Linked DNA regions of Danio rerio. The protein of the gene in region 3 interacts with the protein of the main gene of each other region in a biochemical or structural test. Links are inferred from orthologs where the notes say so. Each region holds a gene or a part of one and is shown on either strand. Other genes may lie near its edges.

What was found.
Region 1: of the proteins of smurf1 (region 3) and axin1, one has a biochemical effect on the other in vitro, tested with the Homo sapiens proteins (2 studies listed by BioGRID, with this or other methods). The link is inferred for Danio rerio from reciprocal best matches to the Homo sapiens genes SMURF1 and AXIN1.
Region 2: the proteins of smurf1 (region 3) and plekho1b form a complex in vitro, tested with the Homo sapiens proteins (4 studies listed by BioGRID and IntAct). The link is inferred for Danio rerio from reciprocal best matches to the Homo sapiens genes SMURF1 and PLEKHO1.

What each region holds. Positions count from the first base shown.
Region 1 is NC_133178.1:42,645,683-42,655,892, reverse strand, and holds the end of axin1 (axin-1), read left to right. Parts: intron 1-2,136; coding exon 2,137-2,286; intron 2,287-5,026; coding exon 5,027-5,153; 3' UTR 5,154-7,140; downstream 7,141-10,210. UniProt on the Homo sapiens protein: Component of the beta-catenin destruction complex required for regulating CTNNB1 levels through phosphorylation and ubiquitination, and modulating Wnt-signaling.
Region 2 is NC_133191.1:42,446,387-42,456,596, reverse strand, and holds part of plekho1b (pleckstrin homology domain-containing family O member 1b), read left to right. Parts: intron 1-7,072; coding exon 7,073-7,213; intron 7,214-10,210. UniProt on the Homo sapiens protein: Plays a role in the regulation of the actin cytoskeleton through its interactions with actin capping protein (CP).
Region 3 is NC_133178.1:39,716,439-39,727,422, reverse strand, and holds the start of smurf1 (E3 ubiquitin-protein ligase SMURF1), read left to right. Parts: upstream 1-4,415; 5' UTR 4,416-4,633; coding exon 4,634-4,688; intron 4,689-10,984. UniProt on the Homo sapiens protein: E3 ubiquitin-protein ligase that acts as a negative regulator of BMP signaling pathway. Mediates ubiquitination and degradation of SMAD1 and SMAD5, 2 receptor-regulated SMADs specific for the BMP pathway.

The DNA.
Region 1 (10,210 bases), about 2.9 Mb from region 3:
ATACCCGTCAACCCTCCCGTTTTTCCTGGGATTCTCCCGCATTTTACAGTTCTATCCCGCTATCATCCCATAAAGGTTTTTTTTCTGTATTTCTCCCATATTTTCAGTGTTTCTCTGAAGGGTGGCAAATAAACATTAAAGAGCCGAGCCTCCCTATACTCAACCCATACCGCCAAACCACCAGGGGCCGCCCCTTGCTCTTAAATGCGATTGTTCTGTGCTTTCGCTTTGTTTAGCCATGAAAATACTTTGAAATAAACATAAAGACGGCACAATTCCCTTTCTTTTCATTACAGGTGCCGTCTCCCCTTCATATGCAATCCTCAAAACAGTCATATAGCGGGGAGTCCCTTATTATGATGGGCATATCCCTTATTTTCACATCCCAATGTTGACGGGTATGATTTCCAGACTTCTTAAAAATGCAAGAACTGCATAATAGTTTGTTAGTTAGTTCGTTTATTTTAATATTGCAAATGTTTTGTTGCCATCTGAAGTATAAATCTGTCATTCATATATATGCAAATATATATGAGCAAAATCACATGAGTAGCAGTGCAATATGGCTGTATATGGGCACTGGTGAAAGGCGTGCGTTGGCTCAGGCCGAGTGCCCTAGTGTCCCACCAGGGACGATATACAACCACATCGCACTGCTACAAGTGTGATATTGCTTTAATACAACAGTTTGATGGCATAATCGTGTATTTAAAAAAACCAAAAAACAAATGCAGTCTTAAAACCTTATTTTGTACAAGGAACTACTTCTGTTCTTTCATTTTTAAAATCTGCAGCTGATGTCAGAACAGCAGAAACCATTGCTACTTCACCAACATCACTTTAGAGCTAGTATGATTCTCTAGCGTAATGTCTAAAGTGATGACAAGTTGCAATCGAGATATCACAATAATTAACCCCGAAAAGCCAAAGCAAAGCAAACACTACCAGATAACCACAACATACAAAAGAGCAAAATTTACTTAGAAAGTCACTTACCTGCCTAATACAAATTTGATCAGCTGTAGTTTAAAATTACGTAGAGTTTTTCTGTCCAAAGGACATATTATGTGGTCTATGTTGCCCTCTTGTGGTGGAGCGTCAACCATGGCTCTGTTCAGTATGACAGGTTGATGGCCACCGGCACACCAAATGTCTACAATTATAAATATTTAAAATAGACACTATCCTTATAAATAATCTGCAAAGCTGCAATCTAAACAACCACATTCCTGCCTTAAAAGGCCTGAAAAATACATTATGTTGTCCAACAGCTGCAATATTTGTCAAACTGTAGTGAGTTTATTGATCTGTTGTGGGCGGAGTAATACAGAAGGGTGAAGTGGCTGTATAAGTGCTGTTATTGCAGAACATATATATTTAATTTATATATATATATATATATATATATATATATATATATATATATATATATATATATATATATATATATGTGTGTGTATTCAGATATTTTTCCACATTAATTTAAAAACGTCTACATTAATAAATATTAAAAGTGATTTTTATACCAACCACTATTGAACGCGCTTTCTGAATCATTAGCATCTCCCATAACAAAATATCAATCCACCACTAGTGCCCCCATGTCGCTCACTAACCCCTCAGTGTGTAGCGCTATTCTCACTTCCTGTGCACAGCATTTAAGAGTACACTTTAGATAGACTGGTCTTAGCTCTTGCACATAGTTCTTGACAGATTGGTTGCAGTGAGGTGTATCGTTCTGGTGCATTAACGGCAGGAGGAGAGCTGGAGCTGCGGAGACGTGCCTGCTTCTAATGCAGATACGCAGTTTAGTGACATCAAAGCTTTGGTGTGGATGAGATGAAAGCGGTCCTGCAGTGCCAGTGTTTTTTTTTTTCATCTTTTTTTTTCTGAGGAACATTTGTCAGGCATCTGGAATCCGTTTTACTTGGCATCAGTAAACCAAGCCTCTGCCGCCCACCAGCACTCCTGCCCACTTCAAGCCCAGCAGAACACAAACAAGAGCCTTTTAAATACAGACATCCTTACGGGACATCTGTATTTCCGCTACAAAATCAAACGCGCCATTACGGCCTATTTTATTGCAGAACGAATGCTTTGGTGGCTTTTTCAAGTGCTTTTTGGTTTGTTTTGCAGGCATAAGAATATGAAGAAGCAGCCCTGTGAGAACATCACCGTAGCCTATTATTTCTGCGGTGAACCCATCCCATACAGGACGTCCGTCAAGGGGAGGATCGTCACGCTTGGACAGTTCAAGGAGCTGCTCACTAAGAAAGGGAGCTACAAGTAAATGCACTTTTTTAATGTTCTTTGCATGAGTGGGTTATTGAGTTCATTCTCCTATTGATTTTGTCCAATATTCACATTTAACATGCTACAAACAGCTTTTGTGAAACAGAAAAAAGAATGAAATGATGGAGAATTAACTGCTTGGAAAATGTAAAATAGAGTAATGCTGCTGAAGATTTCCACTAAATATAAAGGTTTACTATGTGACAGTAAATGAGTAATAACTTCAAATAAAAATATTATTAATTATAATATATAAATAGTAATTATATAAATATTATAATAAAATATTATTTATTAAATAACTAATAAAATGTATGCTATGAAGTCAGTTTTATTTTTCTTTCTTTTTTTTTTAATCCTTTTAATTTTGGATCTATTTTTTATGTTTAAAATATGATTACCAAAATGTAAGCATGTGTAGCGAAATTGAAACCCATGTAAACAATTGGAAAAATGCAAGGACAAGTTATTATTTTTAAATGATGATAACTTTGTATAACTTTCTGTTATATGGTAAATTCAGTTTAAATTTGATCATTGTCTTCATTTCAGAAATCATAGAGCCCTAAACATTGCCATTGAATGATTCAGTTATAAATATGAAAATATGTTAAATGTTTCAAGCAATCCATCAAGCAATATTGTCTCAAAGTTTGTAATGAGTAGTTTTTGTTTTTAAAAACCCTTTTAATATACTTTTGCTGTCTTTATTAAATCTAAATATTTTCTGTCACTTTTGCATGTAATTGCATAAAAAGTATCTCCTCTAATGCTTGGTGGAACTAACACAGGGTTTTTTGATGACAGAAGTGCAATTAGGGCATTGCCAACTTTTGTTTTTTTCATTAATTTACACAGCAATACCAATTTGCAAGTTAAAAAAAACAAAACAAACCTTTCAATAAGTTCTGAAATTAATATATATATATATATATATATATAGGCTTGTGATCTTGCAATTATAAAAATGGGTGCGATGGGAACCGTTAATGGACAAACCATCAGGCTTACCACATTCTATTTATAAAATAGCTACAATTTGCATCAAAGTGGTTTAGTAATTTTACTTCTCAAAACTTGAGCCTCCAAAAGCCGGCGTGCTTTCATTGCATTTTATCTTTGAGGAATTTATTAAGAAAAAAGACCTACGTTGACTTCTTTTTGATATTTGCTGCCAGGTCATTAGAAAATTATGTGCAAAATTGTGTTTTATGTGCACAATTATAATTTGCAGCTTTAGATGGAAATTAGCTATTGTCTTAAGCAAAACTTACAGAAAAAAGGATTTTACAACCGTGTTTGTAATATTGATGATACTAGATTTTTCATTATTTCATTATTGAATGAACTCTCAACTTCCAGTATCAAATGGCCTCAAATACTGTGCATGCGGAAAGCATTCCCAGAGCTTCACTTTTTCCTTTTTATGTTACAGCCTTATTCCAAAATGGATTTTTATTTAATTTATTTGCTTAAAATTCTACACACAATCCCCCATAACGACAATGTGAAAAAAGATTTTTTTTTAATTTTTGCAAATTTATTAAAAATAAAAAACCTGAAAAACCACATATATGTCAGTATTCACAGTCTTTGCCATGAAGCTCTAAATTGAGCTCTTGGTTTTGAGCTTTTGGTACATTCTGTTTCCAGTGATCATTCTTGAGATATTTCAGCAGCTTAATTGGAGTTCACCTGTGGTAAATTCAGTTGATTGGACATAATTTGAGAAGGCATGCACCTGTCTATATAAGGACCCAGGGTTGACGGTGCATGTCAAAGCACAAACCAAGCATGAAGACAAAGGAATTGTCTCGAGGCACAAGGCTGGGGAAGGTTACAGAAACATTTCTGCTTCTCTGAAAGTTCCTATGAGCACAGTGGGCGTCTATCATCTGTAAGTGGAAGATGTTTGAAACCACCAGGACTCTTCCTATAGCTGGCCGGCCATCTAACCTGAGTGATCGGGGGAGAAGGGCCTTAGTCCGGGAGGTGATCAATAACCTGATGCTCACTCTGTCTAAGCTCCAGCGTTCTTCTGTGGAGAGAAGAGAACTTTACAGAAGGACAACCATCTGTGCAGCAATCCATCAGGCCTGTATGGCCATTTCTCGCCTGGAATTTGCCAAAAGGCATCTGAAGGACTCTCCGACCAAAAGAAAAAAAATTCTTGGGTCTGATGAGACTAAAATTGAACTCTATGGAGTAAATGCTAGGCATTACGTTTGGAGAAAACCAGGCACTGCTCATCACCAGCCAGAGCCCAGATCTGAATCCTATTGAACATCTCTGGAGAGATCTGAAAATGGCTGTACACCATCACTTCCCATCCAACCTGATAGAACTTGAGAGGTACTGCAAAGAGGAATTGTCAAAAACTCCCAAAGACAGGTGTGCCAAGCTCGTGGCATCATATTCAAAAAGACTTGAGGCTGTAATTGCTGCCAAAGGTGCATCAACAAAATATTGATCAAAGACTGTGAATACTTATATACATGTGATTTTTCAGCTTTTTTATTTTTAATAAATGTAATAATCTTGTTTCTCATTGTCATTATGAGGTATTGTGTGTAGAATCTTGAGGAAATAAATTAATTTAATCCATTTGGAATAAGGCTGTAACATAAATGTGGAAAAAGTGAAGCGCTATGAATACTTTCCGGATGCACTGTAATTGCTGTAGTATGTTTTGTTTTTGACTGACCTTTTTCATTGTTTATCTCTATTTCCCCAGGTATTATTTCAAGAAAGTAAGCTATGAGTTTGACTGCGGAGTGGTGTTCGAGGAGGTACGCGAAGATGACGCCATCCTGCCCATCTTCGAGGAGAAGATCATCGGAAAAGTGGAGAAGGTCGACTGAGGCCGGGACGGAGGCTAGAGGAGAGGAACTCGGGCTGTGGAGGATGACAGAATGGAGCTGCAGTGAGCAGGTGCTGAGTTTGGTACAGCGAACGTGGACGTGCTGGAGAGCCAGAGGTGCGGAAACGAGGAAGAAGGCTGTGGAAAGTACACTATTTACTCCGAGGCTTCAACCTCCGCTCAACAGAAGTGCTCGAGATCACTGCGTTGGGCACCGATAGCCCTCGGACTCACTCACTCACTCACAGAGAGACGCAAGCTGGAGGCAGCGTCCTCTCACTTTTGCTATATTTCTAACTCTGAAAACTGTAGCAATGTAAAGTTAGCCTAGAAAAAAAAGTACTATGAATATGTTTACTAAAGCTGCATATTTTTGATATGACGTATTCAGAAGGAACATATCCTTTCTAATTTAACAACTCTTGTAATTTTATATGTACTGGTACCAGATGTGTACAGAACTGTCTGTTTAAAAGGAAAAAGAGAAAGTTTTATATCTATTTAAATATTTAAAAGTGAAAAAAAAGGACAAAAAAAACTAAAAGAGAAATCGGTTCACCCATATCAAAGCTGCGGCATCAACCTGACCCCCAAAACGGTGGTAAGTTTTCAAAAGCCTGTGGTTATGGAGGAGCAGGAATCATAACCCACGCTTTACCAAGTGCTTTTAACTCCCATCAAGTCCGCACGAGAGAGGGAGGAGTCAGTCAAACGCCGCACTTTCCACTGCATTATGCATTGATGTCAAAGGAGAAGCTATACGACGATGCCTTCACATTGTGTTTGAGTGATGTCACGACACGCGTAGTGCATAATTATTCCTCCCCTTTGAGTGCGCTGACATTTATCTCCAGATTGTCGAGTGGAACAATGGTAGGTCTGTAGTTTTATCTCCAAGGTCTCTTTCCAGGTGCTTGCGTGCGTGAGATCTGCCTGTTTAGGAGCAGGAAATGTTTGAGCCTTGTGGAAGAGAGGGGTCCATCATCTATCGAGTGCCATTGGACAATATAAGGATCATGTTTACACTTACCTTAATGTATTACAGAACAGGAAACAAATAAAGAATTGTAGCCTTTTAGCTTAACACGGCTAATTGTGGTGCCTGGCGAGAATGAATTGTTTTAAAACGTAGTTTTTAGCCTACCGTGATCTGCCTTGTTGAGATCACGAAACACCAAAGAGAACAATCTATCACAGGAGTCGACTAAAAACCCGTTTGCGTTGTTTCGGCAGCAAAAACCAAGCTCCTTTTTAGAGTTTTCAGGCTGTGTTGTAACGAAACACTGAGATAAATGCTAGGGAAGGCCTGGCGAGATTGAGCCAGATGTGGTGCTGTAACGTTAGAATGCTTTTATTTTTATTTTGTCGTCGTTGTTCTGGCATCCCATGTTAAAGCTAGTTTTTAAATTTGAAATTCTCAATGTTAAGTGGATTTTAAGTTGCCGTTATCAATGTTTGTCATGTTTTTTAGCCCCTCCCCCTTCTGTTTAAATTTAGTTCTTCATCAACTTGAACAATATGGGTACTTGATGCAAACTATGGAACATTTCTCATATGTGTGTTTTTGATTACGGTGTAATTGTCAACTGGGATGTAACTACTGTGAATAGCCTGAACGTGAGCTCCTCTCACTGAACGATGAATGACCTGTACATAGACGTCACAGAGTGCCTTTCTGACCATTCTCTCATCTCTGATCCACTGTCTGCTCTCCTCACTCCGTGTGTCCAGTACCAGGGACTCGCATTATGTTTTAAAGTGTCCTAATTTGTTTTGTTTTCGTTAGTTTCCTATGCGAAGAGCATCAACACACTTTAAGTCTTTCTATGTAAATATGTACATTTTTTTTTTTTTTTTTTTTAAATGTGTCTTCAACTACAACCAGCAACCCGATTTGGAGATTTAGTGCCCTGGTTCTGCTTAAGTGTGCCGAGTTGTACAGTTATCATTTTATGGTACTTTGGACAATAAAGACATGTAATGAAATACATCTGGAGTCATCCTGTTCTTTCCTCGAGTCATCTTGTTCCTTTCTCGAAATATAAATGACGTGTTTGAGTGTGTTTTAGTTTATTCATGTATGACTTTTTGACTTTCTCTCCAGCAATTTAAGTTTAGAAAGCCTTTAAAAAATAAAGACTAACAGATGATGGCGCTCTTGTTTCCTAGCAACTGTTTCATGATGGGTTTTGCCAAGATCTCATGCAGCCGACGGCTGAGGCTCCACATAAACACTGAATTATGAGAGATCATTTAAAATACATGATTGGGAAAGTCTTTGATCTGCAGTACAAGAGATTTAGTTTGGATTGAGAAAAGAAATCATTAATAGAGCTAGCAATAAATAAAGACTTCTGCCTTATTCTCTTGTTGGAAACTTATGCCTTGATACCCTTGTTGACTCTAATGTACGTCAGTGATTGCATTGCGTATGTGCTTAAAACTGATGGAACCCTTGCACCATCTGATTTGAAGTCGGAAGTGGGAAAATCCAAGTTAATATTTCCCACATAACCTAATTTTGCGTTCCAGTCAGTCACACCACAAGATGGCACCATGAGTCAAATAATTAATTTCTTTGATCAATTATGACTAAATCGTTATTTAAAGCAAATGACTTGAGTGCCCAAACTCGATCCTGGAGAGGCAGTGTCCGGCTTAGTTTAGCTCCAACTTGCCTCAACACACCTGCCTGGAAGTTTCTAGTATACCTAGACAGAGCTTGATTAACTGGTTCAGGTGTGTTTATTACATACACTGAATAATGTTTTTATTATGTACAGTGAATAAAGTAATGGTGCAATTATAAAGTAGCTTAAGAAATGGTATGTACGTTAATGTTCAGTTCTTTTTCACTTTACAGGCAATGAAAATAAACATGAAAATAAATCATTTGCTATAAAAGCTCCTTTCAAATGTCTGCATCCTGTTGGCACTCGATCAGGTCGCTAGACTGGAAATGTGCAGCTACTCACTCTTGTCTTTTCTGTTACTGTAAAATTCTAATGTCGAAAATTAACAACCCAACTTTTCTGCATGACTTTGTCTTTTGGAAATGTGTGGAAACTCAAGAGTTAAATTTCTCTGAGGCTGTATGTTGCTAAACACGGCAGTTGTAGCTAGAAGTACTGTTCTCACGTCTTTGTAATGACACTTTAAAATTTAAGTTTAGATATCATATTCATGTGGCTGACGTAAACATATAAGTGTGCTATAATGGCATGAAACATTAAGGCAACTCTCCAAAGCGTTAGTTATTTTGATCTATAGCGTTTCTGTAGTAGCACAGTACTTTTACATTTTACTGGAAATGCGTCTGGTGCCACAGTGCATATAGCCCATTGTGGCTGAAGCTAAAATCTGCAGGACACCGACCCTCCAGGACCGAGTTCGGGCACCCCTGGTCTAGATTGATAGTGATTATATGCTCTTTGTTGAATGCAGTGGTGTTAAACTTCCTAGAGGGCCGCAAGCCTGCACATTTTAGTTCCAACAAACTTACCTGTAGGTTTCAAACAAGCCTGAAGGACTGAATTAGTTTGATCAAGTGTGTTTGATTAGGGTTGGAACTAAACTGCAAAGCTGCGACCCTCCAGAAACTGAGTTTGACACCTGTGGCTTAAAGAAGGCTTTCCCAAAATCAGGTTTATTGCCATTTGTTGTACAGTGGCATCCAGTTATACTGTAGTTGTTAGCTTGAGACAGCTCTCTGTTTATTTTGCTACTGATCTAGGTGAAGATATTAGTATTCTTGAACATTTCTTATTGGATATTAATATAATATTGCACATTTATCTAATGCAAAATAATTAGTCATAACTAGAAATTCTCATTTGTCGGCATCATTTTGGAAATGACCTCACATTTCTCTGTGATCAGGCAGGAACGACATAGTCTTCTAATGGTATAGATATGATTCAATAGGTATGTATTTATATGCTTAATATTAGTCATATGCTGCTTTATATGTTTTAATACGGAGTTAATTGAGGTGGGTGTAAATGCTAGCTGCAGTGACGTCACAATCTTGCAGCATTTGTTTTGTATGGCCAGAAAACTACACACTGCGTCACAATTCGCATACTAACTATCCTAAAGAGTATTTAAAATAAGAATTATCCCAAATCATAGTATGTTGAAAAGATTGTGCCAGGGGTGTCCAAACTTGGTTCTGTGATCAGGCAGATATGCCTTGGTTCTGCAGATATGCAGATTTTAGCTTGCCTCAACAAACCTGCATGGATGTTTCTAGAAAGCCTAGTAAGAGCTTGATTAGCTAGCCCAGGTTTGTCAGATTGGAGTTGAAACAAAACTTTGCCGGATATCGGCCCTCCAGCACCGAGTTTGTATATGCTCGGAGTATGCCAAAGGTTCCCGGATGGTTTAACTACAGGGGTGTCAAACTTATCTCCTGGCGGGCCGTAGCTCTGCCGTTTAGCTCCAGCCCTTCAACACTCCAATCTAGGTTTTAAAGAAGCCTAAAGCACTCAATTTGGTTGGATTAGGTGTGTATAATTGGGGTTGGAGCTAAACAGTGCAGGGTGGCCCTCTGAGTATGACACCTATGGTTGACTATTTTCAGTACAATTTTTGAACCGTCCCGCTGATATTGCCCACAATACATTGCGCGTTAGACGTGACTTCGAATAGAACGAGTGAAAAGTACAATTTAAAGTACAAACATGATGGACCTAGTAGGCTTCAGTAATGATTTTTTTTTTTTTACTGTTAATAGCCCACTGGAAAATATTTAAATCACATTTTCCGTGTTATATATCTGCAACAACAACGTGACGTGATCTGAACGTGTTTGGACATTACCTTGTGGCATAATTATCCAAAGACCTGAGGAGATTTCTCTGCATGAAAGAGTTGTGAATGGCAGATTAACCTGCTGCTGCATCTCCAGTAGTAGATATGAAAGAAATGGATGATGTGTGGATTACAGGGCTCGTAACAACGTAACGAAATAAGTATGTCCCAAAGCTTGCATACTCTCTTACATACTCTAAAAGTATACGTTTCCTTCACAAAAAGATACACATTGTTAGGGCGTAG
Region 2 (10,210 bases), on a different chromosome or scaffold from region 3:
TTTTATTAAAACTCTCTTTGGTCAATGCATTAAAAGGCACAGTTTCTTCAGCGAGGTAGAGCATTATTGCATTAATTATCCTCTGGGTAGGGTTGCACCAGCTGTTCATAAGTCCTTTCTTAAAATGAAAGGTAAAGTCCACACTAGGGGCTTTGTAACTACTACCTAGTTTGTAACTACATTTTTTTTTAAACGTTCTTAAAGCAAACTGTAGATTATAGGTTGTAAGCTCTCAGTAAAGTCATGCGTAGCCACATTGAATGACATCATATCCAATAAGAAGCATTTCAATCGGTAAAGTGCTTTAAAATTCTGCAATTATTGCATCTATATATAATTGTCCTTTGAAAATGGAATGAAAAATTACCTGCATCACGAGCCACAAATGCATGTGATAACACATGAAGTTATCAAACATTAATCTTTAGTTTTTTGTGACTTTGAAACCAAAATATTCCCTTATTGCTGAAGTCCTGCTTTTATTCGATATGATTTAGTCTATTAATGCTTTTGAAGTGGCAGACGCCATCATCCCACTCGTCCGCGCTTTCCGGTTTGTTTGTTGTTGTTTTTTTATCGTATTGTTTTTTTATCCACATAGTTCGGTTGCACAATTTTGATTGGGCAGAAAGAAGGTGTGCTCACTCAAATAATATTTTATATCGCAGCCTTTTGCGATTAACTAATCACAACGTTTCAAATCGCGATTCGATTTCGATTAATCACACAGTTTTTTTTATGAATGTTTGTTATAGTTACACAAATTAAATAAAAAAATTAACTGCATTGGTCTGGCCCTCTAAAACTGCCTAATCTAATGTGGCCCCTTGGCAAATTTAACTGCCCACCTCTTTGTTATGGGAAGAGTTGTAAGAAAAAGCACTAAATCAAGGTATACCTACTATGCTTTAAACCATTTTTTCCCAAGAGCACATGTACCATTATGAATAAAACTTAAACCCCTTTTCTCTTCCCCAGCTCATCACTCACCAACCCAAAATACTATAAATTCTGAGTGTGCCTCATACAGTGTGGGCTTAACAAACCACCTGTAGAAACACACACACACACTCTCTCTCAAAAAAGACTTACTAAATTCTCTGAGCACAAACAAGTTACTTTGTATTGCCTCTTCTTGTTGAATCGCTGAATGCCTCCTCAATTGTAAGTCGTTTTGGACAAAAGTGTCTGCTAAATTAATGTAAATGTAATGCTTATGTTGTACAAGGAACACATGGATTATGATCAAAATCATAGCTGCCATCCATATCCTTATCCTATTCGCATGTTAATATTAGGTGTAAAAAGGGATAAACTCTGTCATTGTTTACTCGCCCTTCTCTTGTTTAAAACATATTTTTTTTTTTTCTTATGTTAAACAAAAAAGTTGATATTTTGAAGAATGCTTGTTGTAGCTGGTATCTACTGACTTCCATGGCGATTTTCACCCTGCTATTTGTTTAACAGAAGAAAGAAACTCATAAGTTTTAAACCACATGAGGGAGAATAAATGATGATATAATTGTCATTTTTGAGTGAACTGTCCCTCTAAATGTAAAAACAATTGTAAAATAAATAACTTCATAAGTAGTTTTTCAAGATCTCTTATATAACTTATAAAGTAAATCTGAAACATCAACTTATTTTAATAAGTTTAAGTAACAGTATATTTTGTACAACATACTTTTTTTAGCCTGCAAGTTCTCTCATGCAGCTTTTATATCATAAATCAGTATCTGCCATTTTATTGACAGATTTACACTTAAAACATCTTACAGTGAATTTTGCATGTGTGGGCTGAAGGGACACATTGCCAAAGAGCATTCATTTCAAATTCCTTTTCAGGGTATTTGGCTTCTGCGATGATGCCACCTCTGTCGCAAGAGTTTGTGGTTCTGATTGACATTTATGAAAGGTTAAATGGTTTACGGAGAAAGTAAATATGAAATTGAATAGCTCAATTCAGAACTTCATCGGTCCTTTGAAAGACAGTGAAACATGAAACGAACACTGTGAATGGTCCACCTGCTCTCAAAACAAAAGAAAAAGAGAAAATTCTCCAGAATACAGTTTAGTTGTTGAGTATATGAGCATGTTTCGCATTTTCAAGCGGTTCTGTATCTTAGTATTTCAGTGTTAAATACATCTATCAATAAACACCACTGTTCAAAAATATGGGGTTAGTATGATGTTATATTTAGCAATTAAAATCATCATAAGTGACATTTACACAGAAAAAATTTCCATTTAAAATAAACGCTGTTCTTTCTGTACACCCAGGAAACCAAGGCTGCACAATATATCATTTGAACAGCGATATTGCAATGTCTGGATGCACAATAGTCACATCGCAAGATTAGATTATTTCCACAACATTCTGACACTCGATGACACTCGAATACCCTGTCAGTAATGTCTTGAGGCTGGGAATGAGCTTTTTTACAGTGTCTGTTATAATGTTAATGTTGTTTTTGTGTGTTTACATAGATCAATATAGCCACAGTGTAAATGCACAGTACAGTTACGATCTTATTGCCACATTATATCATTATGATAACATGATATATGCCTTCAGTGATTTTCTGAAGATAAATACCAAAAAATAACACAACTGTAATAACTACAGCAGTCGCCATCATCAAACTCATATTTAGTACGACATATGATGACGTGTGCAGGTGCTGTAGTGCTGTTCCATTTCTTGGGGGTACACTTCGAAGCCCTTCCCCTTCACACTCTGTTTCAAGGGGAAGAGGGGTACAACAATAGAATTAGGATTGGGCCTAAGTACATTGTATTTATATTTTAATGTGCTAAGTATATGTTTAAAGTGGGACAGATTATTGAATATATTTAAAACTGCCAATGCTTAACTATTTAAAGGTTCAGGACACCCTGGATAATTTTTTCTTTTTTATTAACAGATTTGTGTGAGTTGAGCATCAGTTAAGACAATGTTAGCATCTGTCAGCTTTAATTGTGGGGAAAACTGGATAATTTTGAGCTTTTGTCAGCTAATTTCAGCTTCCGGGTTTAAAATGATTTTTAGGGCGGGATCAAAATTGGCGATGTAGCGCAGTACTGCAAGTGCATTGATGACGTGTCAGTTTCTCATTATTATTCAAAGCGGAGTTTTCTTATCCTATGAGAAGAGCCGGCTCCTTAATTATTCATGAGCACGTACTTTCCGAAGGCAAGGCAGACTCAGACGCAGACCTGCCAGACCAGTGCCAAGTTCAAGCTGTGAGACACGGACCCACGGCACGCAGTAGCCGTTTATGAAGGCTCGTATGTGTTTGTTCCCATGATCCATGGGGTTTGTTGCATGTTTTTCCCCGGGATCCTGTCAGGGCCGATCATACAGCAAAGCTGTGTGTGTGATGCAAGCATTTTTGTCGGGAGAGCAGCACGAGAATTGGAGAATGGCGGATGTTGTCTTGTATCAGGTGTTCATTCACATTCAGACACATCGCCGTGCTGCTGTGTTTGCCTAAATCCTCCAGATTACCAGCAGGACTAATGGTTAAAATAGATAGGTCAGGAGACCTGCTCCACTGAGTCTGCATTTAGATCTATGATTCAGACCCAGGGATTGAGGGAGAAGTCCTCATTTATAGTGTGTACATGAACACGATTATCTTTATAATGATATAAATTGTGGTTATGTGTATATGAAATTACGAATAACAAATGTAGCAGGGCATTAAATTACTGTTTATTTCTTTGCATTTTAACTTTGAAAACTATAAACTCATGCGTCTCCTCACGGTTTGTCTCATTTTGTGAGCTAGCTTCATTCGCTCACGTTCTCCCCTGCTGGTCACGCCCACTCCTGCCCGATGCTCGCGGAGCTCCACGCCCATTACATTTACATTTACATTACATTTAGTCATTTAGCAGACGCTTTTATCCAAAGCGACTTACAAATGAGGACAAGGAAGCAATTTACACAACTAAGAGCAACAATGAATAAGTACTAAAGGCAAGTTTCAGGTCTGTAAAGTCTAAGAAGGGAAGTATTAGTAGTATTAGTTTTTTTTTTTTTGTACAGTTAGTGTGATATTCAAAGAGGCAATTGCAGATTAGGAAGTGAAGTGGAGACTAAATAGTTGAGTCTAATCATGCATCTTTTGAAAAAATTCTGAAGTAGACTTTAACCAAAAGTGGGGGGTGTCATGGCCCTTTAAGTATTTAAATTCTGTTATTTGAACTGTAAAGTTGTGTTAAAACCATTGTAAACAGCAATTCAGTATGACTAACTGTACTTTAGAATTTCCCTTTTAACTCCCTTTATAATGGTATTACTGTTAACACAAATTTGTGTCAAACTGATTTTCTCTGGCATTCGACAGCACGCCACAGATGCTGTTTGTAGAGCTCGTTTTTTTTTCTGAACCCGGAACATTTTTCTAACATCACACATGATAAAAATATTGTTTACGGCTCCAGACAGCTTTAGTTACATAACAGAAAGAAGCATGATTACAGAGTGCATATCAGACAGCATGGCAAGACTGTGAAATTATTCTCACAGTAGTACTTGTTTCCTTTCGCTCCTGCTGTTTGGAAAGGGGAAGGTTTGTCAAACCTTTTTCTCCGACTGTCTTTTGGTTGTTTAGGATGCTATTTGTGTGTGACGCTGTGTGTGTCCTCCGCAAAATGAAGCGCTTGTTTAAAACTTAATGTACATAGTATTAAATATAGATGACACTTTATTTGCAGTTAAAAAGGTCACCGAGGCGAAAATTGCCTTGTTGCTCGAACATTTGCCAGCTCAGGCAGTTTGAATAGTCAAGTCTAAATAAAGCATAAAAACATGCTGTTAAATTAATATATAATCACTCATTTAGACTCAAAGCTGCGCCTACTCAGTTTAAAACAGCAAAGAGCAAAAGTAGTACTTAAGTTCACATTCATTCAATGATTTTTTTTCTCAGCATGGTCTCGGATTACAGACTTTTACAGTGGCAGATTTGTCCCCAGATCCATCAGGCTCATTTTACAGCTAATGCGTTTGAAATAAAGATCCTCAAATAAAGCTTTAATGTGGTATCACGCCCCATTTTTACTTCAGATGGATCGTTTTAAGCCTCCTTTTGATTCACTATTTCGTGCATTAAAAGTCACAGCAGCAAACTTGAGTATAATCTTGAATCTAATAGCATTGAATCGTTCTAATGTCCGGGTTTTGAGTGCAAATGTACTGTGCTCCGACGGTCCTCTCTTGCAAAAAGAGGACTGGATCAGATTGCTAGTTAATTGCCGTCTTTGTACTGCTGGAACAGTAGATGTACTATTTGTACAGGCTTTCCCTGTGGTGACACCCCATGGTGCAATGGGTGTGATGCCAGCACTGCACTGTTTAGCGGCTCTGGGCTACAGCACAGGTCCAGATGTGGCCTTGTGTTGATAGATAGCGTTTTTTTTAGGCCTCAGTTTAGCGCTAATGGAAATTGATTATGACTTAATGAGAACTTTTGGCAGGTGATACCAAATCAGACCCTGATGTTCACTGTGAATCTGGGTTAAAAGGCTCTCTACTTTCATGTTTTGCTCAGTGATGTTTACTAGCCATGTTTTGACGTCTGTCCCAGTTAAAAGTCAGCACCGTTGCTCATCTGGATGTCATTTACTGATGTTACTGACACAACTGGTCGAAACCAAACACAGAGCTGAAACGCTGTTTATCCTAAAAATGCGGTAACACAAGTGGTAAATACTGTAAGGACACACAGTGTAATCAGTAAATCGGGATACGCTGGGCCAAAAAAAGCGTATTCTATGGAATTAAATTGTCTGTTTTAATTTAGTGCTGTTAAACGACTAATGGAAAGTCGTTTACAAAATAAACTATTGCGTTTACGAATTTTTTTGTGTATTGTATGGTATGCATGTGTGTATGTTAGAGCTGCACGATTCTGGATAAAATGAGAATTACGTTTTTTTTTTTTTTTTTTGCCTAAAATAAAGATCACGATTTTCTCACGATTCTGTAGATGTAAAATAAAGGTTAATATGAGTGGGCTATTATTATTGTTGTTGTTCTTAAACATGTGGTAAAACAGCAATAAGCTTTGTGTAGTTGTACTGTTGGTTAAAACATTTTAACTTGAACAGACTTTAGATTTGTCCTGGTCACTAATGCTGATGATAATTTTGTTGTTGAATTTTTGTGTTATTGTGTCAATCTGTAATTTTTTGCTTAAAATTTGTCACTGACGTGATTTTCGTGAATACAGAGGACTGGACAAGGGTATTTTTGCATTTTGGCAGGTTTTGGATACTTTTTGGGCTGGAATCGGTCAGCTACATCTGGCAACACTGTGTGCGCTTTCGGTTTCATTTCACCTTTTATTTACAGTCTATGCAGGTTCTGTTCACTAAAGTAGACTTCATTCAGCGCGCGCACGCCCTCTCTGTGATAACAGCTGACGGTCAGCTTGCGTGTGATTTTGTGGTCGCAAGTACATTACATGAAGACAGAAATGACATTTTTGGGGTAAATTGTATCTTATAAATACAGTATGTGACTCTTTTAACACCATTTGGAGGTGTCCAAGTTGCTGATCAACATATGTAAAACAATGTGAAGACTTGTGCGGCCACTTTTGCTTCTCTCCTGAACTTGAAAATACAATTGACAGAAATGCTGGATTAAGATCGTCTAGGGGGTCGAATCGAGATCGCGACCCTTTTACGATTTATTGTGCAGCTCTAATATATATACATACATACATACATACATACATACATACATACATACATACATACATACATACATACATACATACATGCATGCATACAGTTAAAGTCAGAATTATTAGTCCCCTTTGAATTTTTTTTTATCTTTTTTAAATATTTACCAAATGATGTTTAACAGAGTAAGAACATTTTCACAGTGTGTCTGATTAAGAAAAAGTGAATAAACGTGTCTTGTTTGTTTGTAAAAAGTATGTAACATGCTGATATGAAAAAGTCTGACAGTAAAGCTTAATGTATCACATCATATCATATCGTAAACACTGAAATGTACCAAAAAGTACTGAAATCATCTATGTACTTTCTCCCGCAGGTAAAAGATGAGAAGAAAATTCAGGAGGTGGTGGATCTCACAGACTACGAGAAGTCTGAGGAGCTACGTAAGGCCAAAAGCAGGAGCAAAAAGAACCACAGCAAGTTCACGCTTCTGCGTTCACGGCAGCCAGGCAACACGGTCAGTCTCTACAGGACACCGGGATAACGCTTAATGGCTTTACGCTCCAGTCAGCACTACAGCACTGCTGGGAGGCTTCATTAGTCAGTTTGCAGTCATGCTGTTAGACACTGATGACCTGTTGCACAACTCAGAGATCTGTCTGTTCATACACATTCACACACTTTGGACAAAAAACTACATTAAAAAAGAGGAGCTTATTGGCTATAGGACTGCACAATATATTAATAAACAATCGCAATAACAGTATATGCAATACCATATCACAGGGAAGTGCCTTAAATTAAATAGTTGGGTGTAATGCGTTCCACAGTAATGCGTTTCTGTATTCTAATTACATTTTTGGGGAATGCAGTAATGTACCGAATTACATTGTAAATTTGTGTAATTTGATTTCAGTTACTAAAGTCAATGTAATTGCGTTATGTTAAAAATAGAGTTTTTAGAAGAAAAAATGCTTCTTTTAGATAATGTTTTTCGCTGTAGTTAGTGAGCAAGTGCTTTTAAATTGCTAAGGATCGCAAGCTAAAATAGTTGCTGGTCAGAGTGGTTGCTTCTTCAAGTGGAAATACAGACATAACTTTGATTTCAATAAGCGTAAAAACAAAAATATTGCTGTGAAAGGCAGTCTTGTCCAGTCTCTCAAGAACTTTCCACTGCTTTTAACTCGACTAGCAACTTGTTCGAGCACTTGAACAGAAAGCATTGTAACCAAGGAGGACACAGCACCCAAAAACACAGCGGCTCGACTCAGCCTAAACAGGCTAAATTGGATTTTTGCGCAGGATTGTGAATGAAGATACCTTTTGAATGTGAAGAGAAGCATAGTTGCTTATGGAGTCGTTCAAGTATCACGTCATTATTGTGCACAAGCTTATTTCCAATGGAGGCGCGGTTTGCATACATATACATATTGGGAGAGCATATTGCGCATGCTCTCATTTTCCAGGCACATCAGTTGAAACCCTGAGTCACTTCACAAGAACTGTCCGATCAGTTTCATGCTTTGTATGGAATATACACATTTCGGTAGACTAATTACTGTCGAAGTCTGAATTATTGTTTTACTTTGATAGTCATTGGCGGCTAATATAATTTCCCTGCAAAGAAACTGTTTTCTAAAATTATATTACTAAGAAGAAAGTCTGAATGTGTCAATATAAAACCGTCTTCACCCCAATGCAATATTTTATCCAGTTAGTGTATGACGGTTGGTATAATCAGGCGGCACTCTTCATCGCAGTGAGCGTTTGTATGGGCGAGGATGTCAGTTTCCAGAAAAGAAAAGTAGGCAGGAAATTAAGAGTTTTCAAAGATGATTAGACAGAGACGTATGAGTTCATTTCGCTCTAATCTAGCACAAAACTGCTCTGTTTTATTTCTATTTCTTTATATGAGATGTATAGCATCTTTACACGCCAAAGTGGAACATAAATCAAAGTTAAAGCGGCTTAAATTTGCAAAAAATTTATATTTACTGTACACTAACCGTTAAAAGCATCTTTACACTGAATTTTGAGCAGACACAGACCCGCTTTAGGGCTGCCTTAAATCAGCCGCGTTAAGAAGACTTTAGACTGCTCTATATATTGGCACCATGTTACTTTTAAGAAAATAAAAAAATTATACATTGACACTTGTCATTTAGCCACTATTATTAATGTATGTTCAGGGCTCGAATTTAACTTTTTTACTTGGTAGCACCGGTGCTCCCAACTTCAAATATTTAGGAGCACCAAAATAAATTTAGGAGCACCAGAAAAAAATTAGGAGCACCCACCAAAAATGATTGAGCACCGCTGCAAATTGCTTTTTAAGGGATTTATTGTATTTTAAAACAACATCAATAGGACTGACAAAAACCAGAAACAACTATCTAACTAATGCTGCGAAGACATTGATATTTGTGTGCAATAATTCCAAAATGAATGTCTAATAATTATAGAATATTAATGATGATGAAAATGACAATAATAGTAAAAATGAATTACATTTCTCATTATGATACTGCCTTGAATGTGCATGAATGTAGGTTATCTGCCATAAAAAGTCTGTTACTTTATGAAAAATAATTGTATAGTTTGCATCAAACAAAAATGAAGCATTGCCTTAAGAAATATGTATTTTGTACTGCTGTATTTATATGCATGTCAATTTAATAAATAATATTTCTGCTACAAAACAAACAAAAGATTATAATAAATCATTCAATTCAATGATGAAAGCTGCAAAGCAGTCATCAGTAAATAAATAAAAAATAAAATTAATATACACCTCAAAAAAGAATAGACAAAAGAAAGAAAGTAAAGTCTCACTTCTATCACTCTTTAAAAGTTTTGGTTTCAGTTTGTGTCAATTTAAAGGTTCAGTCTGAGATGATCTTCATTTTTCTGTGTTAGTGGAAAAGCAGGCGAGTCAGTCGACCCAATTTATGAGCAGGCAGCGCAAGATTCTTGCGATGACCACCGGCGGAATACCGCTGTTTGTTATGAGACGCAGTTTCAGTGTAAACTTAGAAAAGGCGGGGTTCTTTGGCGATGGTATTAGATTAGACTTTTAGCGGACATTTGCGCTGAACACGCAGTGAATGCAACGCATGGAGATTCGGGCGCCTTCTCCAAGAAGCGCGTACTCGATTGATCTCAGCTGGCGGATCATTATTCACCACGTGACGTGTCATGATCGCTCTCATCTGCACCTCAATTTTAGGTGGGGTTTGCAAACCTGTGTGCTTTAAGTTTTTACTCTTCTGCCGTTTGCATTTCCCCGTGGTCATAAAAGCTCCTTCCCTGTCATCTGACAGCGAAATACCTTGAGTGATTGACAGCTAATGTGAACCAATATAGCGGCAGGGAAGAGCGATTCAGCACGTTTTTACAAAAAATCAAAACAGGTCGCACTACAACCATTATCTGCAGTCGCACTAATGCGCCCAAATATATTATGAGGTCGCATAGATTAATTTTCGGGCGCATATGCGACCAAACTGGTCGCAAT
Region 3 (10,984 bases):
ATTTTTGCATTGCCATACAGTTTACCGGAAGCGGTTAACCAGGTTACGGGCAAATTAAAAGTCCTATTAGCATGCTTCAGCATATACCCTATTGTAAGCTCATTACTGTTTTCAACACAGAATAGAGGTATTAAATTGATAAATGGCTGTATTAAACTGATCAAAATGTGCACATAGAATTCTTAAGCAGATTATTATAATAAAAATATTCTTATGCCTTCATTTTAACTATACATTGTTTTACAAATATCTTAAAGCAGGGGTGTTAAACTCTTAATAGAGGGCTGCAGTGTAAATGTTTATGGATGTTTCCTAGTTCTGGGAGAGCATCCACTGTGTAAAACTTAAGCTGGATAAGCTGGCAGTTCATACCCTGATGAATAAAGGGACTAAGCTGAAGGAAAATTAAAATGTAAAACATTATATATATATATATATATATATATATATATTTTTTTTTTTTTTTTTTTTTTTTTTTACAAATGTTCTCTTATTACAGCAGAATACAAATTGTTCATTAGTCTCCATTTATATGTTCACACACACACACACACACACACACACACACACACTATGGAGGATCAAATGATTGCTTATTGCTCCTGTCATCAGCTTATTGTTCCTTGTACATCTATAGGGACACTGTAATTGTAGCAGCTTTGTTTGTGATGTCTTGATTGTGATGTTGTGTTATTATCTCACACACAGTGTGTGAGCGCCTGGTGGAATATTCCATTTCAAGCATGTGTGGACACATTAGGGGATCATTAAGACTAACTCAAAGCTGTGAACACATATGCTCCTCCCCGGATACACACAAGCTATTTCTGACTACCGCACCAAGTGTGCCGCAAGCCTACGTTTGAGTGAAGGTTTCGGCCGTTAGATCGCCCCCTGGGGGCTGGCTGCAGTACAAGTCATAAAGCCCGCCTCCTCCGTGTTAATGAAGGAGACTTGAGCCCAAATAAAAAAAAATATTACACTTGCAATAAAATGTCCCGAAAGATAGTTCTGGTCGATTAAGGCACTGGTTATTGTGCTGAAATAGGTGCAGATCTTCATTTTTGTAAACAGTTTGTTTTTAGCAGTAATTTAATGCTGGGCGTGTCATCGTGATACACAGCTGTGATTGACAGTTTCTCAAAGCGCGGCGTCTGAGCTTCGGCAGGAGAATGAAGTAGACTGAAATGTTATTATTCGATTTCTGTGTTATTTTACCATGACAAAATGAGTTCAGCAGTAAACTATAGTTTCTGACATACATGATCCTGGTGGAACACTGTTTATTCGCTAAGTTCAGGGCTTTTTTCGGGCTTTATTAGTTTGCTGATACACGCCTAGCCACCCAGATAGCAAAACACAGTTCCGGCTAGATTCTCGCCTGCCGGAGACATATCTCTTAGAGCTCAGACTGACTAATGTTACCTCTGCTGGACCTACTCCGGATGCCTGGACTCACTGCCCGATTCCAGTCCGAGTCAATCGAGCCAGATGCGGCGGCCGAGCGAGCAGGCGCTGCCGCATGCGAGCCGGAATCAGCCCGCGACGCCGCGAGTAAGTTATGCGCTGCGGCCTGGAGCTGGCGCGATTGAATTTATAAAACCCTCATATTTGTTAACGTTATTACATCCATTTGTGTTGATATGACAGCAAACGCATGCTGAGAAGTTCGGGGGGCGTGGTTGATTTTACATAAAGCGTTTGGTTGGAAGCTCGACTCTGCTCATTTTCGCGGCTCCTCCTCTGGCTCCATCAGACAATCCTTCTGCGCATGTCTGGCTCCAATTTCAGCAGTCTTTTGCGACAGTTTGTGCCCGTCAAGCAGGCGTTTTGCCCTCAAGGCGTTCAATGGGAAAAAGGGCTGTCGCGTCGTCCATATTTTTTACAGTCATTGTACCGCACACATTAATTAGCTTCTCAAACCAGCCAGTAGGCCTGTATATTCTGAGGTTGCTAAACTTGATTTTTCAAATAGTTATACAGCGGCTAAATCACAAATTAGCAGAATCATTTAAATATGTGAACAATTGTTTTTACCTGTGTATATTAAAACCACTGTCGCCTCACAGCAAGAAGGTCGCTGGTTCGAGTCCCGGCTGGGTCAGTTGGCATTTCTGTGTGCAGTTTGCATGTTCTCCCCGTGTTGGGATGGGTTTCCCCCACAAGTCCAATGACATGCGCTACAGGTGAATTGGGTTAGCTAAATTATCCGTTTTTGTGTGTGAATGAGTGTGTATTTCCTAGTAGGCCTACTGGGTTGCAGCTGTAAGGGCATCTGCTGTGTAAAACATATGCTGAAGTTGGCGGTTCATTCCGCTGGCGACCACTGATCAATAAAGGGACTCAGCCAAAGGAAAATAAATCAACTAACAATAAAACCAAAAAGTTCCCATTATAGACATGGTTTTCTCCTTCAAAGCCTACCACATTACAAAGTGCTTATGGGTTTATTCAAGATTTAATTAAAACAACACTTCTAGGCTACTAGAAAACACAGTGTTTTTCGCTATAACATATTTGTCCTTTCAGTTTCAGAGGCCCTTGACTAATTTAGCTGCCAATCAAATCCTGTCTTTCTTTCCTTGTTATGACCAAGAGATGGCAGAAGTGAGCCACGTCAACATCTCCATTGATTAATTATGTCAACAACGCGTCTTCCCATAATCCGATTGCCTTTTTTTCACATTTGGAGTGGCTTCCAGCATACACATTTTCATTTGCTTTGACTGTTGATGGACGTTTTAAATGACTGATTTGATTCACAGTTCATTTCTGGCATTTAATTACTACTGCCAGTGCTATAATCACTTTCTAGTGCAACTAAATCACACAAATGCATCCACAGTTAATACCTGAAGCTATTTTTCTGAATATTCATTACATATTTATTGTGAATTAAGTGCATATTATAAAAGAGTGACCAATATATTTATTATAGTATAGCTATTGTAATTTCCTTAGAGTCAAATGACCATTTCATACTGAGCTATTATTCAATATCATATCAATATCTATGTGAGGAATAAAGTGTCAAAACCTTACATAATTAAACTGATCAGTCAATACATTCTAATGTTTACATTTATGTCAATGTTTCATCTTCAGATGTACCTCATTAAGCCACGTTGCATCCCACACAATGAACTGATTTAATTAATTGCATTAATATGTATTTGTTTCCATTTTAATGAGTCTTCAGATCAAATACATTTCATTATTATGCCAAGAGTACAATGGCTCTCTGCTCATTAAAGTGGTGACGGATTGAAAAAGGCCAGTGTGTGGCCTGCCACCCTCATTAGCCTGCTGTTTACGTGGATTGGCTTTTCTTCTGCACAACACTATTAAATGGCTCTATTGTTTCCAGTTGCTAAAGTCCTCCAATCCAATCCCTTCCACTATTGCTCAGGCTAACCTTATTTGCTTCTACAACGCGACAATTATCAAGCCGCAATTAATGCAATCACAATCATGCAAATGTAATGGAAATCATCTGCATCCATCATCTCATTATTTATTACTCAAACTCAAAACAACAACCTCTAATGCTAATCAGGTCACTTAAAATGTTATGGATGCTGCGAAAATGACAAACAAATTCATCAATCTGCCCCAGATCCATGCAGTCATCTATCTATCTATCTATCTATCTATCTATCTATCTATCTATCTATCTATCTATCTATCTATCTATCTATCTATCTATCTATCTATCTATCTATCTATCTATCTATCTATCTATCTCTACATTTATCCATCCATCCATCCTTTCATCCATCCTTTCATCCATCCATCCATCCATCCATCCATCCATCCATCCATCCATCCATCTATGCATCTATCCATCCATCCATGCATCTATTCATCCATCCATGCATCTATCTATCTATCTATCTATCTATCTATCTATCTATCTATCTATCTATCTATCTATCTATCTATCTATCTATCTATCTATCTATCTATCTATCTATCTATCTATCTATCTATCTATCTATCTATCTATCTATCCATCCATCCATATCTATCTATCTATCTATCTATCTATCTATCTATCTATCTATCTATCTATCTATCTATCTATCTATCTATCTATCTATCTATCTATCTATCTATCTATCTATCTATCTATCTATCCTGTATTTATTTTATTAATAAATCCTTTTTATTGTTGTTTAGATCTATCTAATCTTAATAACATTTGGTCTACTTAAAAAATACATCAATTCACTTCAGCTGACGTGGCTGGAAAAACACGCAAAGCACGAAATTTCATAGCATAATTCGAAATCAGGACACACATGACTAATATCCTTTTTTACATCACACAACACAAACGGACTTCCAGCGCCAGGAAGAAGAGCGCGCGCACGCCCAGCCGCGGGTACGTGCACGTACAGCTGTACTAACGTGATGTCAGAACGCCGTTGAGCTCAAAAAATGTTAGCCTGTGTTGTTAAGTCTGAAAGCTACAGGGGATTTGCCAGACGGAAATAATACCGTTTTATCGCCGAGAAACACATGCACAGGCCACACGATCGCGTCGCGTGTTTTTATACGTTTTTATATCCTCGTGAAGCGAGCGTCTTGGGTTTATCCTGAGAGAAAGTTCGTTGGTTTTTTTGTGGGAGTGATGTCGAATCCTGGGACTCGAAGGAACGGGTCAAGCATCAAAATCCGACTGACAGGTAAAACACCCTCTAATACGCTAATTTATCGCTTTAATGTACTAATTTGTTGTTAGTTATCATTTTATACGTTTGGTTAGCTTATAACTGTGTGTCGGTCGCAAATGTGTGTAAAACGCTAAGCGAGGATCCTGCTAGCTTCTGCTGAGGCGAGTTGCTGCAGCCCTGTCTCTTCATGCTAAACGCATGCTAACACGAGAAGCATCCCTTTTTTATTTAATAAACAGCACAATAGTCAGTGGACCTGCTTTATTTGCACTTGTGTGAACGTTATCAGCCGAAAGCAGCTCCCCGTGCACAGTTTGTTAGGTTGGATTAGTCATAAATCAGCTGAGTATAAACCGGATGAGGCAGAGGCAGCTGTTTTCTCGGTTTCCCCTCATCTGGACGCCAGTGTCTTCGTTGTAAATTAAGATTTTAATACGTGACAGACTGTTCATTAATGTTTTGCTTATTGCGCTGTGCTTGCTTTCGGAAGTAAGCTAACTATGGGGTTGATCTTTATGTGATAGTGTACTGTTTCACAATCCACAGATGGGTTTTTTGGGGGAGGATTTTTTTCCTTACTCTTTTGAAACCGCTCTTTGCTTGGAAACGAACAGGATATGATAGATGCATACTGATCTCATTGATATCATCACAGACATAGTGACAGTGCCCTGGAGGAGTGCTTTTACAGTTGCCTTTTTATTTTTTTAAACCAGATCTGATGTTGACTTATCAGTGCCCTTTAAAGCGTTTGTGGAATAGGAAGACTGGTAAACGCCAAATGACAAGGTTATGTGGTTTGCATTTTATTATAGACTCAGTAGAGACCAGATTAAACGTTTTATTCTTTATTCTTGTATATTAGATTTTAAAAGTGAAGTTTCATTTGTAAATGTTAATGCCCTTCATTTATATTGAGCAGTGTGTTTGTTACAGTGGTTTGTTGATTTTGGATGTAGTAATGATGTGTACCCTTTGTGAAGCTGCTTTATTATTATAATTATTAACGAAGTAAACTTGAATTGAACCGTTTTTATCTTTTGTTTACAGAGTACAACAGTTCATTGTCAATGTTAGCTCAGAGACAGCTTTAAAATATACAACTTTTGCAGTAGTTTGGTAAATGCTGAAATGAACGTTAATGCTCTGCTGCGGTTCAGTCATTTATTTTCATATTTGTCTTCATAATGGTATGAAAAACTAAACGTTTTGGCACATTACCATTAACACAAACACACAACAAAAGGAAACAAGCAAAAATGTGATTATCATGATAAGAAAGTGTTTTTAAAATGCAAATGCTTGTGGTGTTTTAGTCAAATATAACCACATCAGATATAAATTATAAATGAAGAAAGTTTATTTCACATTAGATGATATCTTTCATGATATAGTTTTATTATGAGGGTAGTTATTCCAGAGAATTTACTAAAAGGTGTGCAATAAATAAGCTTTGTGAAATAACTAAGCTTAAATATTTAAGGAAAGAAGATGACTCAATCTTGTTAGATTATTTTTGTATTTTATTTTAACTTTACTATAAATATTGTAAACCAAATATAACTTTTAATGAACGAATTACACTCTCACATTTTCACAGTTTTATGTGGACAGACCTTATTATTATAAACATTTCACACATCATCTTCTGATACAAAACTATCCTATGGAAAAAAAAAAAACTTTATCCCTATAACTGCCTGCTCTACCACACGGTTGACCATCTTTTTACTGTTTTAAATAATCACCGTTAAAGTCATTTTAAAGAGAGTTTTAAAGAATGGTTAACACAATACAGCATTGTTGGTTTACAAAGAAAAAAAGAAAATCCTGTCGCACCACTTCGGCATACATCAAAAAAATTCATGTGGTATTCAAAAATGTTTATTTTTTTATATTTTAAAATATAAAATAGTCTTAGACTTTATACTTTCATATTTTTCATAGCATATGAATTAATTTCTGTAGTTTTACTATAAATTAACATTTCTACCATTTTTGTACATGTTAATATTGTAGAAATTATGGGATTATGGTAAGTTTATGGGGGAAAAAATTGATTTAGTGTTTTAACTAGCGACATTACGAGTTAAGAAATGCAATCCAAAAATATTTTTCTTGGTGGGCGGTTAAAAGGTTAAGGAAATATCAAACTGTTTTTTTTTTATTCCTTTAAAAATGCAAAATAAAAACAATTCAAGAGTTCAGATGCTAAAACCTCTATGCGCTGTCTGAAATGTCCATCAAAAATAAACTTTTATTTTTCAACCTCCTTTGTTTATGTTGAATTATTTTACTTTAAAGACCATAAAAATGACTTATTTGCTATAAATGTGTTTATTACTAAACTTACACACAGGAGCCTGAAAAAAATTCTCAGTTTGAAAGAAAATTTCAGATGGCATTTTCTAGGTTCTTGCATTTGAACTCCTCAATTACAATTCATGGATAAATACTGAAACTAAGTGATCAGTTCTCGTTGAAAAAATTAAGCGATTGGCAACACTGCCAGTCTCCCATGTAGTGTCTTTCTTGGCCTTATGCATAATGCTTGTGAGTTCGCCACTCCCACTTATTTACATTTGGTGGTATACACAGAATAAAATAAAATTAATATACACATTTCATGCCATAAAGATGATTTATATCGTCATATAACGATATGGCCGATAAATGGTATTATATCAAATCGCAATAAAATTGATGTCAATAACAAATATAAGCTTGGAAGTTTTTTTTACTCTATATTGATCTCGGAGCCAATCACACTGCAGAAATGTGCAACAATGGGAATCTAAAAGTGTATAGATATTAGAGATGTACCAAATCTGGAAGCATTATCAACTTATATCGAAATATTTTTGCCATGCGCTGTAAAAACTGCTGGGTTCTACATAACTAATTTCTGTAGGGTCAAAATGAAGGAATTAAGTTTAACTTATAGTTTTCACATTTAAGTGGATTGAACATAAAACAATTAAGTTGTCCCACAAAAAAACTCAAAAATTGTGTTTCCGCTCCTTTTGAAAAAACGGAATTTATAAATACGTAACAAACAACAAACATATTTTTTTGAGCGTATCGGCTCTTTTCATAGCAATAATTGTAAAATTCTGTAACTTTTTCTCTGCCAAAAGTGACCAAGCTTACGTGCTCCACAGCGGTCACAATTTATAACAGTTTAAGTTTGAAATGTAAATTTTTTTACACCCAAAAAGTGGTCACAAATGGAGTCTAACTATTTCAGAAGTATAATCTAGCGCCATAAAATTCCCTAATACAACTTACTAAATAAAAAAATGCTATTCGATTAATTTGATGCATTCATTTATATAATTTAAAATTTTTTAATCTGAATGAACTAAGATTACCCAACAGCGTTTTTCTTCTTTAATGTGAAGTGGATCATTTCATTAATGGCCATTGATTTATTATAAAGTGAGTTAGTTTGCTTTTTATGTAGATGTACAATAATTTACTACATAATCCATGTTCCCTCTTTTTCCTGAAAGAACTATTTTGACATCCAACATTTCACTCTGAATGCTTTGATGGAAGCGATTACGACACCATATAAAGACATTTTGTTCCCACACAAACAAGAGAGCTCTGAATGAGCGGGGCTTTACTTTACACAGATGTGTTTGTGTCTCGCAACATCTCCTCTGTGGCCACTTGAGAGTTTGTTTGTGGAAGAGATGTCCACAGCAGAGGTGGCGAGCTGTCGGGCTGCAGACAAACCCAGCGCCTCCAGCTGTGCTGCTCTCTCCCCCCTGGGCCCATGAAAGGAATTCTAATTGGTCAAGGAATGTCTGTCTCATGAAACAATGAGTGTTGAATCTCCTCAATGGCCGCTTCACTGTTTAGACTCGCAGGGCGTTTAAGTCCAGAGGATTTAGGTTACGAAAGCTTGCAAGATTTTTATCTGTATGATAGCGATCAGTAGATGCAAAAGTGCTCCCTTTAGGCATTTGGAGGGAGAGCACATTGTTTTTCACTTTTATTCTTGTTTCCTCTCAGATTGGGTATATTTGGAAGAAAAAAAGGTTTTTGGTAAGCACTGCATCTAATTCTTGTTATAAACAGTAGTTACCTAAAGATATTGATAAGTTTGGGAATCATATTGTAAGTGGAATTTTACAGACTTTAATGATCAAATATTAAAGACACAGTTCATGTGTTCGCTCTTATGTTGTGAAATATAAAAGAATTGTCAGTATAAAGAGAATTGTCTATGGGCTCGAGTGTTGTCGTTACCAAATTTCTTAAAAATGTCTTCTTTGACTCTAGAAATCCACAGGCATGAAATGACATTAAGGCCCCGTTTACACTAGTGCGTTTTAGTTTTAAAACGCATAAGTTTTGCTACGGTTACGCCATCCGTCCACACTACGCCGGAGTTCTCGAGCGCCGAAAACGGAGCTTTTTGAAAACGCTGGAGAGGCCGTTTTCATTCTAAAACGCTGCTGCTCCGTCTTAGTGTGGATAGGGAAAAACGGAGACATCTGAAAACGGAGGCGGGGCTGCAAACGTTCGCCTATCTGATTGGGGCTTTTCCTCAATATTAAGTAGCCCACACACAGTTCAGTCTCGCATCCTCTTCTTGTAAGTTAAGACTTCGCAAGTTTGATCAAGGCTGCAGTCTCCCCTTTCTCAGTTTGATATGGAAAACATACGGAGGACACGGGTAAATCTTCAAAGGGAACAGTGTACTTTATAACTCCATTCACATCACCTTGGCTATGTTGTTTCACTTTCTCAACAATAAAATGTAAACATGATTTAAGGAACTGCCTATTTTCTTTTTAATATTAGCAACTTAACAGACAGCAGAAATGTTGAGGCGTCGTGCTGCATATATGGGCGTCATCTTCACTGTGTGGATATTTATAACAAAACGGAGCCTATAACAACTGTTTCCTTTCAATTTCAGTGAAAATACGAAACGCACCCTCTCTTTTGCTAAATATCAGTTTTAATAATCGATAATTATAAAAGTATAACATACAATAAGTTTATACATTGTAGGAAATAAAGGCAAGCGATCAGTCAATGTACCTGGATTAATCATTAACTTATCTTTGCGCTTAACCAAAACATGTTACCCGTGAACAAGTAACTTAATAGATTCCAATGACCAAAGTCAGGGAATTGGCCTATGTCGTTAGATAAAGACAACAACATGAATGAAATATCACGTTTAGCAAATATAGTGAGATTAGATCCAGCGGGAGATGCGTGATGAGCAGTCCGACAAGCAGAGCTCTCATCTGGGTAGAAATGCTGGAGCGCTTGCCCGAGAGTGTGTGTGTGGTCACGTGATGTGCGTTTTCAGCGTTTTGGTGTGGACGGAGAGCTGTTCAGAGACGCTGGGAAAACGCGAGTGTGGACGCGGATCGTTTTCATTCTACAACGCCGTTTTAAAACTAAAACGCACTAGTGTAAACGGGGCCTAAGGGTGTACTCACACTATGTACAGTTGCCTTGAACCGGGCATAGGCACGTTTTTCCCCTCTCCCGTCTCCCCGAAGGCCCGCACTCACATTACATTCGGGCCTGGGCACGCTTACGTCATCGACGCTGCGCTGTTCAGTAAGTGCACTCGCTTAGCACAGTGGAGATTTCTTTAGTTATATCGTTTAAGTTGTTTGATATGTAGTGACACGCTTTCAAATATTTAGCCGAACAGATCAGCCACTTTTGACGCTCATAAACAGTCATAGTCCACGTGCTGCAGGAATTAGGAGGTTTGCTGAAGGTGTGCAGCTTTCGTGCAGTGATGGGTTTGCGTCTTTAATAATCTACGACAGTTTGCGACCATTGAACCGTAAGAATGATTGATAAATCCATATCAAACAGTCCGTTAAAAGTCACGTCTCTCTTTCAGTTTTGGCCCCAAGCACGTTTTGCTCTCACACACAAGCGTACCGCGCTATTGCCCAAGTGAACCACGCTCTGGCACACTTCTTCCAACCGGACAAGGGCTGGCCAAGTGAACCGTGCCTGAGCCCAATTTAGAGTACTCGCACCTCTCAAACGATCCGTGAAACAGGCCTAAACACGGTTCGGATAACATAGTGTGAGTACGCCCTAAATTGGTCATCATTACTCTTCTTTTGAATAGACTATCCTAAGTGCCCATATTCTAATATTTTTAGGTGTCACATATAGATTTGCAGGTATCCAAAGTTAAAAAGAAATGAATAAAAGTTGTGCTAGAATAACAGATTTGTCTCAAAATGTGAACACAATATCAACAAATTAGAGAAACTGATGTCTTTGAGAGATGATCAAAGGAGACTTTGTCC